Linked DNA regions of Arabidopsis thaliana. The protein of the gene in region 1 interacts with the protein of each later gene in a biochemical or structural test. Each region holds a gene or a part of one and is shown in the gene's direction. Other genes may lie near its edges.

Evidence for each region. The genes of interacting proteins can lie anywhere in the genome.
Region 2: the proteins of ATXRCC1 (region 1) and AT3G14890 form a complex in vitro, tested with the Arabidopsis thaliana proteins (one study listed by BioGRID).

The regions. Positions count from the first base shown.
Region 1 is NC_003070.9:30,234,720-30,242,738, reverse strand, and holds ATXRCC1 (BRCT domain-containing DNA repair protein), read left to right. Parts: upstream 1-4,203; 5' UTR 4,204-4,280; intron 4,281-4,873; exon of another isoform or gene 4,874-4,955; intron 4,956-4,967; exon of another isoform or gene 4,968-5,036; 5' UTR 5,037-5,090; exon of another isoform or gene 5,091-5,533; 5' UTR 5,534-5,575; coding exon 5,576-5,764; intron 5,765-5,864; coding exon 5,865-6,053; intron 6,054-6,143; coding exon 6,144-6,255; intron 6,256-6,350; coding exon of another isoform or gene 6,351-6,400; intron 6,401-6,425; coding exon 6,426-6,511; intron 6,512-6,603; coding exon 6,604-6,717; intron 6,718-6,796; coding exon 6,797-6,883; intron 6,884-7,010; coding exon 7,011-7,295; 3' UTR 7,296-7,519; downstream 7,520-8,019. Other genes in the region: AT1G80440 (Galactose oxidase/kelch repeat superfamily protein), read right to left, coding at 1-976; EMB2753 (tetratricopeptide repeat (TPR)-containing protein), read left to right, coding at 7,907-7,957. UniProt on the Arabidopsis thaliana protein: Corrects defective DNA strand-break repair and sister chromatid exchange following treatment with ionizing radiation and alkylating agents.
Region 2 is NC_003074.8:5,005,954-5,015,137, forward strand, and holds AT3G14890 (phosphoesterase), read left to right. Parts: upstream 1-2,722; 5' UTR 2,723-2,797; coding exon 2,798-3,148; intron 3,149-3,254; coding exon 3,255-3,317; intron 3,318-3,405; coding exon 3,406-3,687; intron 3,688-3,814; coding exon 3,815-3,880; intron 3,881-3,988; coding exon 3,989-4,117; intron 4,118-4,245; coding exon 4,246-4,539; intron 4,540-4,779; coding exon 4,780-4,842; intron 4,843-4,986; coding exon 4,987-5,064; intron 5,065-5,155; coding exon 5,156-5,224; intron 5,225-5,323; coding exon 5,324-5,407; intron 5,408-5,545; coding exon 5,546-5,602; intron 5,603-5,685; coding exon 5,686-5,762; intron 5,763-5,963; coding exon 5,964-6,045; intron 6,046-6,135; coding exon 6,136-6,252; intron 6,253-6,564; coding exon 6,565-6,698; intron 6,699-6,866; coding exon 6,867-6,936; intron 6,937-7,038; coding exon 7,039-7,107; 3' UTR 7,108-7,312; downstream 7,313-9,184. Other genes in the region: AT3G14880 (transcription factor-like protein), read left to right, coding at 612-1,018, 1,409-1,736; EMB3120 (uncharacterized protein), read right to left, coding at 7,489-9,184. UniProt on the Arabidopsis thaliana protein: Nick-sensing 3'-phosphoesterase involved in a base excision repair pathway required for active DNA demethylation. The N-terminal DNA-binding domain binds specifically to gap sites and sharply bends the target DNA.

The DNA.
Region 1 (8,019 bases):
CTACGGTGGCTTCACCGTATCCAGCCAACGCCTTCCCGTTGCCGATCACAATCAGCATCCCGGGCCTCACCGCTACGTAAGTAACATTGTACACATCAGCAGGGATCTGGCCCACCTTTTGCCACTTGTCATTTAGAAACATCATCACATCGCCACCCCAGCACGCGTACAAATCCCCACCGGCGACGCAGGTCGGAGGGCTAACGGTATCGCCGGTGTCGTCGAGGAAGTCCTCCGTAAGTGGACCCCACTCCCACGTAGACACATCGAACGATTCGGCTGTTTTACTAAACTGCCCCTGTTCCTCAGTGGCATATCCACCGATGACGTGGAATCTGCCAGCATGGAATACCGCTTTGCACTCGTCTCGTTCCCGCGCCATATCCGGCAAAAACGTCCACTTGTCTTCTGACACGTCATACACCATAGCTGACGTAAGCGCACATTTCTCTTCGTTGTGTCCACCCGCAACCAGCACCGTCCGATCCGAATCCGAAGCGCATCCGAAGAAGGACCTCCGTACACCTGGCATGGTTGCCCCCACGCGCCATTTGGAAGTGAGAAAACTGAAGACGAATACCGAATCATGGGCCTGCCACGTAATCGGGTCAAGCCCACCCAAGACAATAAGATCGGATCCAACGGAAACCAATCTGCAGAACAGAGGAAGTCCTTTGGTTTGACCAGGAATCGGAGGAAGCTCCGTCCAAAGACCCGACCCGGATTCGAGAACAGAGATCCGGTATTCAGGCGTAGCGATGATCTTTCCGGATCCAGCGGGGTCGACACGAGCCTGAGACAGAATAAGAAGCTCTTGGCTATGGCGTGAAGCTTTTCGCTGATGTAAAAACTGAGAGAGAGAGACTTCACGGTTCCAGGCTCTGCAAACGGAGGCGATGACAGGGAACTGTTGGTAGGAGGAGCGAAGGAGACACTCGCGAGCAACGTCGTCGGGAAGATTGGGGATAAGTTCCATCGAGAAAGTATCAAAGATTGAAGCTTTTTGTTTATCTGTTTGTTGAGAAGTGAAGAAGATTGAAGCTTTACAAGTAGAGTGAGGGATATTGTAATAGTTTTGGTAAAAGATGAAATTTTGGATCGAGACAAGGTTGAAGAAGATGATGATGATGATGGGAAAGAGGAGAGTGTGCCGCTTTATAGATATTTGAAGATAAGTGTTTCTAGAAAACTTGTTGATTCATTCATCGTTTCTTTCTTTTTTTAATATAATTTTTGTGTTGTATATTTTATAGTTTAAATCAAATAAAATGAAGATAACGGAATTTGAGTTAGTATGGGCAAAAACGGTTAATGGTTGTGTCTTGTATTTAAAGATGGAGACTTTGGACCAATTGGGACAAGTTGATGGATGTCATATCCAAGTTCATTTTCTCCTGATATTTTTCTGGTCAGGTTTAGTAATTTAGCATTCGAATTCCAGTCAACAACAGATTATATATCTAAACATAGACGGTAAAATATACTACCGAATATCGAATTAGGCCTTTCGACTAATACTGATTTTAGATTTTGGATGTTGTTTTGACATGTTACTCTGTTTTCTATCTAATGCTATAGAGTATACACTTACTAGTGCGCACAACAAAAAACAGAATAAAATTAATCTATCATTTGTTCGTTTAAGAATAATGAAAAAACTTAAAACCTACACATAAAAGACTGTACTTTTTGAATGGACCTTCTGAATCTATAATTTAGATCACACCCTTTCTTTTTCTCATATACTAAAATATTAATCGGACCACACACACCCTTTTGCTTTGTAAAAATTTAAATCGATCTCCTAATTCCAAACAACAGAACTTGTTTTTTTTTTTTTTGGTTTTATTATAAACAACAGAACTTGTTCTTTTTTTTTGGTTTTATTATAAACAACAGAACTTTGTGGCAACTTGTATACTAAAGTGATGAATATATGTATACTACACATACACGACGGCAAAATATTATTATATGAAGAACGCAAAACTACAAAGATGTTTCCTTCGCATTATGTGGTACATAATCCAAGCACATAATAGCGTTTAAAGATTAATTTATGTTTTATTAAAATGAAATCCAAATCCAGCTCAAAGACTAATGCCTTGGAGTCTTTCCTCTAAAATCCTTCTAGATAATTTCTCTAATTTCACTTGTAGAATTTCCCTTTTTTTTGACAAAAATTTATTTGATTCTTATTTGGCTTGTTGTTGTCTGTATGTGTGTGTCTATCTTTGGTCGGCCATATTTAAATCTGTATTGATACTCGACATCTTTAAACTATTACCGATGACCAAAGTTATATGTTTTTATAAATATAGCTACAATATATACAGATATTTGTCGTAATTATATATGATCTTTATTAAACTTCTTAACGCGTGTGACATAAAGAAACGAAATGTTGTCTCCGTACTCAAAAGCGTATACTCGTTAATCAAAGCATTTTTGCTTACTAATTTAATCTGTAACGTATGGACATTTATGTACAATACTCTATTTTTCGTAGCTGTACAAAATTGAATACGGAATAATACAATATTTAGGGAATTAGTAGCATGTTCCATGCAGGTTGGACTAGTTCTAGTGTCCGCCATATGTATAAAGCTGTAAACATCTTTAACGCATATATTTGGTTTATTAAAACAATAGTTTTGTGATTACTATGACCCATTCATGTATTTGCATATAAATGTAGTAACTTGGAGTTTTGGTTAATTAGACAAAAGATACTCCGATCTAATATTTTTTAAAATAAGCTAATTGAAACTTCAACGTGGGATAAAACGGGCTGACAAAAAAAGGTTCAACATGAAGAAAATAACTCTAACTGATAAAACGGCACGGCGTCTGAATGACTATAACTCTATAAGGTGACAAAACGACACGGTGTCAACATCCTTAAAGGGGGGAAGAAGAGTCGTCGTGATTCGTCGGGTGGCTGGCTCTTTGATAAATCTAAACAATAAACGACGGAAGCAATCCGATTCTTCGTAGATAGGAATAGCCCGAATAGACTGGTACTGGGAGTGTTGGACCCACTTCATCAATGTTCGTGTCGATATTTTCAATTCTCATACTCTTCTTTGGTCGCGTTCAATTATTCAAATCTCTTAACAAGTATTTTCTTCACAAGAAAATTCGCCAAGCAAATTGGAAAAAAACGAAGAACACACGAAATAACTAGCCAAAAGAGTTTAATTACTTCTTTATATATGTGATCGTTATTTATTTGCATTTTACTCGTTTTTTTTTCCAATTATGTCGACACTTGATTAAATTAGAAGCACAAAGCCTCGAAGCAAACCGGCAAAGATAATAACATCTGCCAGAGCTAAGTAATAAGGTTTACAGTTAGATGATCGAGAGAATATGAGCTTTGGCACCGCAGAAAACGCTGGCCAATTACATAGGAAAATGTTCATTTGAAAAGATATATAGCTAAACAGTATATATGTCTCAAAAGATAGTTTGACTCGCCGCATCTTTCTATTAGGCACTCGACGTCTTCATCATATATGCATTATTATTTTGCATATTAATTAATGGTAGGGATCAAATTGTTACGAAGACATGCAATAGATCATTTGGATATTCATGCGGTCGACATCAAATAAAACAGCTCTCGTACATACAGACAGGATAAGCTCATGAAGTTTCCTTTGGTATTTATTTTTACGTCCTTTTCCATATCCATTATGATAGTTATCCGGTAGCTGATGTGGACTTCGTATCTTCTACTGCCAGTAATTGTATTTCTTTTTTTATAAGTGCGCGGAATATCTATTTTCATTCATCCTCATCATCATATACTAACATCAACTTATCTACCTTTTTTTTTTTAAGGGTTTGCTCGAGGTTTCATGTCATTTTTTGGAAATAAATTTTGACAACATGATTTAATGTTGAATGGTAATGAAATAAGAAAATCAAGATGATTCAATACTCTTCGATATATATAAAGTGAGCGAGAGGGAAAGCACAGAGTATGATAAATCAACTGAATTTAGCTAATAAAACACATTTTTTTATATTGATAGCGTCGAACAGACCAACGACAACACAACGGTCAAATTAACATGGCTTAAGTCAAGCGAGGACAGAACGTGCCAAAGCCATTGAATATATTGAATCCTTTTATAAGCATATCTTATTTAGTAACCACGTGAGTCGTGACGATGGCTTATTATTAGTACGTACTACGTAACTTTGAAGAAAAGAAGCCCTGAAATTTCGGAAATGGGTTCAAAAGTCCAAAAACAGTTTGCGGTTAAAGAAGGGTACGTTATTTTTTTTATAACTTTTTTTTCATTTTTTCATCAAAGAAAGGTACGTTAAAGACAAAGTGAAGACGTAGTTTAATTTTGACATGTTTAGACTCATTGATATTCAGAAACTTAGTCCTGGAATTGTGTTGTAGCAAAAACAACAACACAACGAGAGAAAGATAAGATAAAAGCATATATGATGGGTTTGTGTTGCGGATGTTACGAGAATATGAGACATGACACATCATGACATCAATGATATGGACAAGCATACGATATATTTCAGAAGAAATAGGATGTTTCCTCCCCTTGCAAGCTTTAGCTTCTCCAGTGCATTAAGTCTAATTCATCGAGCTCATTGTAGGTATACGAAGGATTTGACTGAGCTAACTTAGGAAAAAAAGATTGAAACGAGGAATGATTTAGTAATGGTAATTTGACCTTGGTTTTGTACTTCTTTTAATTCATAAACCCCCTCCACCGTAAAAATGAAACATTAGAAATCCTAAAAGGGCAGACAAGTTGATGTCCAAAAAAAAAGAAAAAAGGGCAGAAGAGTAAAAACGCGAATGAAAGAGTCAAAGCAAAAAATTGGTAAAAAAAAGCGTGAACGGCAGGATTCGAACCTGCGCGGGCAAAGCCCACATGATTTCTAGTCATGCCCGATAACCACTCCGGCACGTCCACCTTTGCTAGTTGAATCATTTGTTAAATTGAAAACCCGTCATTTTGATCTGATTTTGTACTGTATGTTGACAAATTGAATAGTCTCTGATGATTTCGATCAAAGAGAAGCCACGGGGGGAGCGCTAGCACTTAAAGGTTCCTCGCTTTCTTCTCAAGTTTATAGTCTTCTCCTCTGTGTTGGCTCATTTACATGGGTAGATTTAGTTTTCGAGGGTTTTATGGCGAAGTTCGCGATGTTCTGTTAATTGCAATGTCTTTCTTCTTTTTTTTTTTTTTTTTTTTTTTGGTATTCAATTCCAATTTTCCAGTGTGATTTGATCTGAACTCGAATTCAAATTCAGTGCTACTGAGTTATGTTAAAACCATTGTCCATTGATTTTTTTATGTTGAAATTGAAAAAAGGTTATACCATTCGTTTGTATTAAGATTTGTCTTTCTTAGGGAATGTTTTACATTTTTTGCAGATTTGCACCGTTTTCTCTCTGGCTTTGTGTTGTGCTAGATGCGATGCAATAGCAATATTTTCCTGGAGTTTCAAGTAACTAGTGGCTTAGGTTCATAATAGTGTTTCTTTGTAGGACGAAAGCTGTGTTAGTATTCTCTCCACTGTAAAGGACAAGATGTCTCAGAAGCGAAATCTTCCTTCTTGGATGAGTTCTAGGGATCCCGAGATTACTCCGAGTAAGTCTCATTGTAAGAAGCCTAAGGATGAAGGACCAACCGAAGAGCACAACAGTAGAAATGCCCCTTCCAACAAGTCAGAACACGCCGAGCCAAGTTCAAATACCACTGAATTCTCTAAACTTATGGTTTGTGTGTGTCTTCATGGTCTTGTTGAGACTCAATTATCTTAAGCTGTCATGTTAGTTTATATGCTTTTGTGATTGAGTTGAAGGTTAAACTATGCAGGAAGGCGTTGTTTTTGTACTTTCGGGCTTTGTTAATCCTGAGAGGAGTACACTGAGGTCACAAGCCTTGACAATGGGAGCCACCTATCAACCTGACTGGAACGCTGGCTCTACCTTGTTGATTTGTGCTTTTCCTAACACTCCAAAGTTCCGTCAAGTTGAAACAAATGGTGGAACAATTATCTCAAAGGTTACCTCTTTGACTCTTCTTATAAGGGATTGTGTGCGGATTTGAATTTCTCCTTTTTGCTGATATTTTATATGATTTCACTGTCTCCAGGAGTGGATAACTGAGTGTTATGCGCAGAAGAAGTTGGTAGATATCGAGCAATACCTTATGCATGCTGGAAAACCATGGAGGAAAAGCAGTAGTCCCCAAGATGCTAATCGAGGTAAAAAGAATTATATTGGAAAGGCTTTAGATAGAATCTCCGTTTTAACCATCCTGAGGTTCATCAAATCACCTTGTTTTTACGTTTATGACAAGAGAAAAGCTTTTCTTATTGCACTGCTTCACTCCGATGTTTAGTTGACTCTGTGAACCTTAATTGATTGTATTCAGAAAAGAGAGAACACCTGTCTAAAAAACCAGAGAAGCAAGTAGAGAAAAAAACAGAAACAAGGGGAACACCATCTACCTCATCCAAGGCATGTTTAAATCTGATGATTTGGTTAACCAAAACGAACCGTATTTTGCTCCAATCAATGGTCTATGACTGTTTATTTCCATATGTTCACAGAATAGATCAGCTTGCAATCTTGTGAAAGAGCCATTTTTTGTTACAGAGGTGAAGAAATGGGCCAGGGATGACCTAAGTCAAACCATCTCATGGCTTGAGAGTCAGGAGGAAAAAGTAAGGGAATTAATATGCTCTTTCAAAAGACATGTTTTCTTGATTGTATGTTTCCGTTATTCTAAAGCCATTGTAACAGCCAGAACCAGGCGAAATCAAGCGAATAGCTGCGGAAGGAGTCTTAACCTGCTTACAAGACGCCATAGATTCTCTTGAACAGAAGCAGGTTAATATCTCTGAAGTCTGAACAATAATAGTTGCCGCCTGTGTACATTTTTGGATTTGTTAAACTTTGATCAGTTTCTTTGAGAAGATCATTGGTTGAATTTATTCTCGAATGTTCTTAATTTTAGGACATTGGATCAGTTACAGAGCTATGGAGCTTTGTCCCTCGTGTAGTGAAGGAGCTTGGAAAGATGGAATCGTCTTCTAAAAAGGAAAATTCAACAGCATCAAAGGAAGAAGTTTGCAAACAAGCAAAGTCGTGGAAAAAGATCTACGAAGCTGAGCTAGCAAAACCGGGCGAAGATGAATCGACCTCTCGGGTTGCTTGTGGCTATGACAGTGATATGACCGTTGAGATGACTGAAGAAGAGATCGAACTTGCTTATAGGAACGTTTCTTTAGAGTGTCTTTAGATCAAACTTGTTTCATTTTGCATATGATCTCTTAAGGAATTCCAAGAATTCTTGTTATACTCGGTTTGTTCGGTTTGAGTAGGATGTTATTACTGATAAAAATTTGAAATAATCCGGTCTGCTTGGTTCGGAAAGAATGTTTCTAATTAGAATTTATTTATGCTGGTTTGGATTCGATTGAGAGATGTAATCGGTTGCAATTAATAAGTCGGTTTGATTTGATACTTTTTAGTGTCGATTGACGATGAATTTGATCGGTTAATACAAATTTGATTTGGTCAATTAGGTTCAGATGTCTCCAGTTTTGAACCGGTTTGGTTCTATCCAATTTAATAACCGTTTTGTAATATCAGACAAACGAATTGAAACCGGAAACATGTACCGATATGGTTAGGATCGAAGAAGATTGATTGAAGACAAGACCCTAATTTATTTATACCCTTATTGGGTTTTGTCTTGTGAGAGTTGTGCCTTTCTTTGTTTCGCAGTAGGGTTGAAGCGGATAGTACGCCACCTCTATCTCTCTCTCACCCTATCGAACTCGCGAAGAACATCTTCTTCTTCTTCTTCTCCGTCTTCGTCTTCGCGAGCTCTCTCAGTAGCGCAATAAAATGGGGGCTTCGCTTCCTCCTAAGGAGGCCAACCTCTTCAAGCTCATCGTCGTATGTTCCGATTCCCTCTCTTTCTTTCTCAGTTTTTACTTTGTCTTAAACATGCGATGTGA
Region 2 (9,184 bases), on another chromosome or scaffold:
ATTAAAGTGAGTAATTCTTGTATGAGTGGAATGGAGATATCAGATATCTTCTAAAAGTGATTTCGAATCATGGACTTGTAAAATTTTTCTTAATTTTTGACTTTTTGATGACCAATTCCTCTATTTATTTATTTATTTCCACAACCGACCAAATATTTTCAGATAATATACTCTGATGGGTCCATTGTATTTTGGGCCAAAAAGCAGTCCTCTATTTTATCAGGATCAGTGGGAATTGACTCGGTTTTGTTCTACTTGTAATGGGTTATGACAAACTGAGACCAAACCAGCCATTTTACCCCTGCATTCTTATTACAAAACGGCCAATGTTATATTGTCAACTGAAATAGTTGAGAAATACAGTTTACAAAAATTTGGCACCTAAAAAGAGATTGAAACATTCTACAAAGCGATAAAACTTTACTTTATCTTTGACCGGACAATAAATGATAGGCATTTCTAGAATTTTAGGAAAAAAATGAAAAAAAATCAAAATGTGAACGTTGATACAATAAGAAAGTCGGTGAACAAAAAAAAGATAATATAAAAGCATAATATAGACAATATAAAAATTGGTTCGACCATCCCAAACACTACGGAGGACCCAAAATATGAGCCAAGAGACAGCGATAGCAAGCTTCAAGAAATTCCAACAGTCATGGATCGAGCAGCTACGAAACCACCTGAACCACCTCCGCTCCGCCCAAAACCATCACCGGAACTCTGCTACCGGTGATGAGGAACGGTTAAGGGAGGCTGTGGACAGAGTGATGGAACACTTTAGAGAATATCACAGGGCCAAGTGGGCTGCGACGGATAAAGACGTCATCGAAGTTATGGCTTCTCCTTGGGCTTCAGCTCTTGAACGGTCGCTTCAGTGGGTCGGTGGTTGGCGACCAACCACCTTGTTCCATCTGGTTTACACTGAGTCGAGTATTTTATTTGAGTCTCGTATCGTTGATATACTTCGTGGCTTTCGCACCGGTGATCTCAGTGATCTCTCCCCTTCTCAGTTCAGGTTCTACACGAACCCCTAATTAGCTACTTTGTTTACTAATCACAACTACTAGTAAAGATTTTTTTATCTAATTTAATAAAATATCCTTAAGTTACGTTGTAATTTGATTGAAGTAATATCGTGATTTGCGCGTGTTATTGTTTACCAAAACTAATACAGGTTCACTCCTACACCTAGAGATATCAAATATGTAGATTAGTTTAGAACATACGATGTTTATTTGTTTACTTTTCTTACCAAAAATGTTTTAGAAAGTGAAAAACACATTTGAGGGATAACAATAAATTTGAGAGATTAAAACACTTATTTTACTTTCTTTTTTTTCAATGTGTAAACAATAACATATGGACTAACTAAACATATTTTGATTACTTAATATTTAATATTTAGGGTTCCATTTGTCAAAGGCAGGACGGTAAGTGAGCTACAATGTGAGACCGTGAAGGAAGAGAATGCGATAACGGAAGAGTTGTCGGAGTGGCAAGACGATGCGAGTGACCTTGTCATGGGGACATCGTCAGATCCCGACCAGAGGATCCGACGGCTAGCAGAAATCGTCCACCGAACTGATGATCTGCGACTGAGAACGATCACACGTGTGGTGGAGGTCTTGAGTCCGCTCCAACAAGCGGAGTTTCTTGTCGCTGCGGCTGAGCTTCGTACAGGCGTTGCTGGTTGGGGGACTAGCCACGACCGTCGTCGAAGTTCCGAAGTTTAAAGCTAACTAAAACCGGTCTAAAGGTAATGAGAATCGAGGAAGAAAAATAGTTTTTGGATATTAATTATATGTTTTTACCATGTTTTTGGTTATCCAGACTGAGTTTGGTTTTACATGGTTATGAAAACAAAAAAAACTCATATGTTATGTCTCTACGGTTGCAATAAAGATCAACCCACGTGTGGTGCTTGTTAGTTTACCTTTTTTAGTTAGAATTTTGTGTGTTTGATTTTTTTTATGAGGTAATTATCGGACCTTATTGGGGCTTCTGATAGTTTGTATATAAAAAATACTAAAGACAGAGAATCGGGGACATGGGTCATTGTTGGTTTCTATAGACCAAGTGGATAAACAGAAAACAAAAAGTCAGCTACAGAAAAAGACATGAAGTGAACGTGGCACTGCCATGTCTCTTGAAGACATGCAAGAGGACACTTGGTGTGGTACGCGTCCTCCTATCACGGTGTCGATTCCAAACATTTTGTTTGGTTTAGTTTTAAGATTCTTCTTCGAAAGAATCTCATTTTTAATCGAAAGATATGATGACATGACAAATTTCTTCTTACATAAATTTGCTCTTATAATGTTTATTTTCGTGTAAGTTTTATATATTTTCTAAAATATTGAACTTAAACTAGCTAGACCCTTTATAAAAATACTATCAGCCCTTTTATATAATGCTTTGGTGACAACAGAACGACAAGAAAAACTGAGAAGAGACCTAAAAACGATTATAGCGGTTTTGATTGGTTGAAGATGTGTCACAATTTTTTTTGTTTATTTCGTTTCATTTTTATTTAATATGCTAGTAAACCTGTTTTTTTTTTTTAAAACTGTATTATAAAAACGTGTCTTGTTAGGCCTTTAAAGCCCAAATAAGCCCAATGAAAGAGGAAAAGAGGAGACACTGAGATTTGGCCCAAACTAACGCATATATTTGTGTTTTACATTTATACCCCTATGACCGACATCAATTTACCGACAGACTCTACTTTCGAGAATGGCGGGAACGTGAACTGAACCCTAATCACCTTTTTTCTCGATTCCCCACCAATGGCTATATGATTACAGTAGCCCCCTTCGTGTCTCTTCGTTTCCAGTTCCCTCTTTATATAATAAATCGCTCCACTCTCTTTTTCCGAGAAAGAACACAGTATCTCGTCTACAACACCTGTCACATTTTGAGAACAACGGCGAAAACAATGCCGGTGGTTGCTGAGTACGCGAAGTCGAATCGGTCGTCGTGTAGGTCATGTTCGAACAAGATAGCTGTGAAATCGCTTAGGTTAGGGTTGATTAGCAAAGGACGTGGCGGGGTTGACATGACCAGGTGGCACCATTTCGATTGTTTTCCGACTGATTCTGAGTCGATTGCTTCCGTTGATGATATTCAAGGCTTATCCGCTTTAGAGGTTAGGGTTTCCTTACATTTCTGTATTTTGGACTCCCTAGGTTTTTTTTCGTCTAAAGCTTTTCACTTTCGGTTATTTGTGTTAACGCTTGTGCTTATGGTTACAGAAAGAAGATCAAGATGCTTTGACGAAATTGGTGGAACAATGTGGTAAAGTACCTGCAAAAAAAGTAAGACTTTGGAAAGTGATGCTCTTTAGTCTCATTTGCTCATATCTACTTTTGCCTAACTGCTTGTATCGGTTTAAACTTAAAGCAGCCTGATGAGAAGAAGGGGAAGGCTAAAAAGCATATAATGGGGCCGAAGGGGCTTACGAAGGCGGCAACATCTTCAAAAGTTATTGCTGATAATGCGAAATCGAGCAGATCATCATGCAACAGGTGTTCTCAGACAATCGTTTCAAAGGATCTGAGAGTGGGGCTGGTTACTGAAGACTCCAGGGGATTTGATATAACAAGATGGCATCACTTGGGTTGTTTTCCCATTGATTTTCATCCAATTGATTCTGTGGAGGACATTGGTGGATATTCATCGCTTGAGGTTAGTTTTTGTTTACATATTAGGAATTTTCAGTTCAGTGTATAGAGCTTTTGGATGATTGCATATGACATGTGGTAACTTCGCTAACAATATCTTTTTTATTTGATTCATTTGTCATACTCAACAGAAAGGTGACCAGATGGAATTAAAGTATTTGGCCGAAGTAAACAAGAAGGATAAAACTTTGATAGATGTACTATCCATATCCCTTGTCATAATATTATAGTCTGTTTCTGCAAATGTAGAGAACTTTACCATTTCAGGCTTTTTGAAACTAACTTCTTACTTCCTTTGCTGGCAGGATGTCCAGAAGATGGATGAAGGTGATGATGAAGCTATAGCTGATAATGAGCTAACGGAGGAGACCAAAAAAGGAAAACATTCTCCTGTTGCAAAATTGGTGGAACAACCTGGCGAGCCTGCAAAAGAAGTAAGTTCTGGAAGCAACAATCTTCTTTTATGCGAGGAAGAAATGATATGCAGACTTCAGTCTTATTTTCCAACCTAGATGTAGATTTTTGACTGAAATACTTCTTTTAACTGCTTGTATCGGTTAAGGATGAGGATGAAGAGAGTAAAAAGCCTGCATCAGATGAAATAAGTGAGCAGAAGACTAAGGATGTGAAAAATTCTCCTGATTCTTCAAAAGTTATTTCTGAGTATGCGAAATCGAGCAGATCAACATGCAAGAAGTGCTCTCAGACTATCGCTGCAAAGGAACTGAGGTTGGGGCTAGTGACCAGAAACTTCCGTGGCTTTGATATGAAACAATGGCATCACTTGGGTTGTTTTCCTGTCGACTCTGATCCAATTGTTTCGGTAGAGGACATTGGTGGATTTTCAGAACTGCAGGTTAGTCTGTATTTAAAGATTCAGGGGATAGAGCTTCTAGATTATTCATGTATCTTCTGGTAACTAGGATCATTTGAAACAGATGCTATTTGGAATATAGATGTTGGTATATAGTTAATTTATTGTCAGGTTGGCATGACATCGTTGTCAGTGTCGTGCAAAATTAACACCCAAACATGTATGTATTCCTTGTTTCTGCTAACACATCTTTATATTTGATTTATTTTTAATTATAAACAGAGTGGTGATCAGGATGCATTAAAGGAATTGGTCCAACAATGCGGGAAGCAGACTTTGGTAGATGTAATAGCAAATCCCCTTTTCATAATATTTGTTTTCTTTGGCGAAAGCATTCTGTTTAAAAGTTTTATCATGTCTTAACCAGAAAATAATTTTAGAATTTATGTCTAAACTAACTTCTTACTTCATTTCGTTGCGGGATTGCAGAAGATGGATGAAGATAATGATGACACTGAAGCTAAAATTAAGCTAACTGAGGAGACAAACAAAAGAAAACATTCTGAGGTTAATAAATAGCAATAATCACATCTTTTTATACTATAATTTTGTTAAACTGGAATATTCCTTGACCTGTAATTTATTGTTTCTTATAAAGGTTGGGGAGATGGTGGAAGAAGATGAATCGCTAACTAAAGCGAAACAACAGATGGCTAAAACACATAAGGTATACAAGCAATGATAAGTATTGAATACCTTCTAATGGTAGCCACTCTTCATTGTGGAGAAATTATACTTAATGATTTTAAAATATTGTGTTATGCAGGTGAACATGAGTGAGTCAACTTCTCAGGTCGAGGTTGAAGCAGAAATCACTCTTTCAGCGTCTGATGTGAAGGATAAGTACAGGGTAAGCACTTATAGTGTCTAGTAGGTTAAAGCCATGTATTCCTGTGTTAAATATTCTTCTTGGAGTTTGTAGCTTTGGCATTTGATCCCTTTTTCGAGTTCTTTTATTTTTCTGGCTGCTAATCTTCTTGTTTCTCAGGATGCCAATCTATTACCAAAATGGAAAGCTTTTGAGACAGTTATATTCCTTGAGCGGGTGAGAAATCATCTTCAGATATGATGTACATGATGGTAATATATTATGGCCTAATGGTATGTTCCTTTGTTGCATTTTAACAGGATGATGGTCTTAATGATTCAGAAAAAATAGCTGCATTTGACTTTGATGGATGCCTTGCAAAAACATCTGTGAAAATGTAAGTAGCTCTTTGGTCACCCATAATATTAGTGTGTTCTCTGTTTTTATGGACATATGGGCTTTTCATTCTATCTCAAGTGATTGCATTTCTGCAATTTTTGTTTATCCTTTTAATGGTGTTATGCACGAACCTCGTCTTTCAAGGAAAATGAGAAACATTGTAATGTGTCATAATGTTTTATATTCCCTTCTTTCTCAGAGTAGGGGCAGATGCATGGTCCCTAATGTATCCTTCCATTCCTGAGAAACTGCAAAGTCTGCACGATCAAGGCTATAAGCTGGTATTTTATTTTCAGCTAGAATTAAGTCTTAGGTACTCAATAGTATTGTTTATATAGATTATAGAGTAGCTGATTTTAAATGTTCAACAGGTCATTTTCACAAATGAATCCAACATTGATCGATGGAAGAACAAGCGGCAAGCTGCTGTAGATTCGAAAATTGGACGGCTCAACAGTTTTATCGAGCGCGTGAAGGTCCCCATTCAGGTTAAGTGCTCTTCCGTTTTCATAAGTAAGAACGTGATTGTATCTATTCAAGAACACTGTGTCAACAAACCCTAGCTATTATTATGAGTAATGATAAGAAACTATGATGTATTCAATGCCTTGTTCTGTACTTAGTTCATATGGCTTTAATGATTTGTTCCGGCGTATAGGTATAATCAGAGAGAAAATAGTGATTCTGTCTTGCTTGTTCTTATTAGTTAACACCCCAAATTTTCAAAGTCTTAAAAGTGCCAATTCCCTACATTGTTGCTGATACTGTGAAGATTATAAATGGTTTTGTTCTGCAAACAGGTGTTTATAGCCTGTGGAGTCTCAAGTTCTGGTGGTAAAGGTGGTAAAGATGACCTTTACCGCAAACCCAAGGCTGGAATGTGGCAACTCATGAAGAAGCATTTTAACTCTGGAATTGCAATTGATATGGATAAGTTAGTTTTCTCCCCACCTGCTCCTAAAAACTTGAATTTACCTGAAACTTCTAGCAATGCTGGAAGATTACACTCATTTGTCCACCAGCCTTACTGATTAAACACTCCGTTTAAGTCCACTAGCACATTTTTTGTTGTTGATACTGACATCTGTGCTATGCTCATCAGATCCTTCTACGTTGGGGATGCAGCTGGAAGAAAAATGGATCACAGCGACGCTGACATCAAATTTGCACAGGTATTTATTGCAAACGTCAGACAATACCCATCCTTTATTTTATAAGTCACCCTATTTACTTTTCTGACTTTCCTCATAGACAACTACTTTCTTTGGTTGCAGGCGAGTGGGCTAAAGTTTTTTACCCCGGAGGAATACTTTATCCCCTCAAGTACATCGCCAGGGACTTAGCTGTATCAGTCTTGTGCTTGTGTTTGCAGTTTGCAACTTCTTTTGCTTTTTTTTTTGTGATGAAACTAGTAGCTAGCTTTTGTGATAAAACTAGTAGTGTGCTTTTGTGATCAAAGTATTAGTATGTGTTTTAACTCTTTTTGTATATTACTGATATTTAAGCGTCAACTAGAGCTTATTGAACCAGGAAAAAGAAACTCCTTTGAACAGGCAGGATTGCAAAGTCAACATAACAAACCACTGATAACAAAAAAAGTTCAAATTTCCGACTCATTTACATACATGGGATTGGGAAAGTTTAAAATCTCTTATGATGCTAATAACATACATCAAAAATTCACTCTCCTTTTCACTCTTTAATCAGAAGACTCAGACATGAAATCACTCCTTCTGACCAATCTCGCCTTCCAAAATGGCGTGTCTTGTCAGAACAATCTCTTTGACAAGGTTTCTGTAAACAAAGGGCCTAACAGCAGCACGGAGAAAGAGCTCAGGTGGAATCCTACTCTTCTTTATCTTCTTCATCCACCTTCCATATCCTACTGTCTTCCATTCTTCTGGCTTCACTTTTGCCTTCTTACCTCTCATTTCCAACTCATCTCCTTCAATCTCTCCCTTTTCTCGTTCCTCCAATGCCTTTAACTGCTTCTCATAAAACTTATCTGACACCACCATACTCATCTCCGCAAGCTTCTCCATCCGCTCCGCATTGTTTGTCGCTTTGTTGAATTGCTCTTCCCAGTACCTCTCATCCTCTTCCGGATCCGACTCCTCTATTTCATCTTCCAAACTGTCTTCTTCAACGTTTCCCTCCACATCGACAACCATGTTATCATCATCATCTACTTCTTCCACCTCACCATCATCATCATCATCATCATCATCATCATCGTCATTGTCAGCTTCATCTTCAATCCATTCTGAGAACTCAGCCTTCTCTGAGCTTCCACTAATGCTAATCTCATCCTCATCTTCATCTGGAGCATCACACCCTAACTCCATCTCCTCCAACTTTGCTTTCCATTCTTTTGTATACGGATGCAACAGCTCGTTCGGGTGGTTTCCAAGCAAGAACTTCAACACTCTGGACTTCTTTTCATCACTCAACTTCTCATAAGCATTCACCACATCATCCACGAAAGCTGTCTGTCTCACCTTCAACATCTTACACAATCCTCCGTAATAAGTACTCAACTCCACTCTACCTTCATCATCCTCCACTTCACACACAAATCCAGATTCCGTCACCGGGTTTAAATAAGGGATAAGCGAGTTAAAGAAATCTTCTTGAGGCTCAAACCTACACTGAAACACAGGCTTCTTCACATACACAATATCAGGTCTAAACCAAGCCGCACATTGACATATCAAAGACCGAGACTTGTTCCCTAATCTCCCCATCAAATTCCACTTATCCAACCTCTGCTTCTTATCCGCTTCCACAACCACTTCACTAACCAACGTCCATTGCTCCCACGGTAACTCACTGAGTCTCCATTTCGGATGCCTGACAAACACCCAAAAATACCTCAAACCAACATTCGAATCCAACTCCTTAACCCTCTTCTGAAAAGCTATATTCATCTCATGCTGCTCAATCTTCTCAAACTCTTCATGATTCTCCACTTCACCAATCATAGTAACACACTCATCAGAGATAGTACCACGAACCGGATCACCAACCACAACACCACGCCACGAGTAAGGTCCAAACTCTCCATACTTGAACCAATCATAAGGATGACGCAATCTCGGGTCATCCTTATCCATAAACCGAACCATCCTATCGTAACCAAGCCCAATCATCTCAAGCTCCTCCTCAGTAAACTTATCCGGATGACTACTGAGAATCTGACTCCGACTCTTGTCAGGGTTATTATACAATCTATAAAACAAAGATTCCGCTAGCTTCTTCGACTTTTCACGAGCATTCCTCTTCACCTGCTTCCTCATATCCGAATCTCCTTCTATCCTTCCACCAGATGAACCTCCTCCAAGCTTTTTCTTGCTCCTCCCGGCCAATGCCCGCACGTCTCGCCGGAATCCACCATCTTCTCTGAGCAAAAGCTCCGACCTT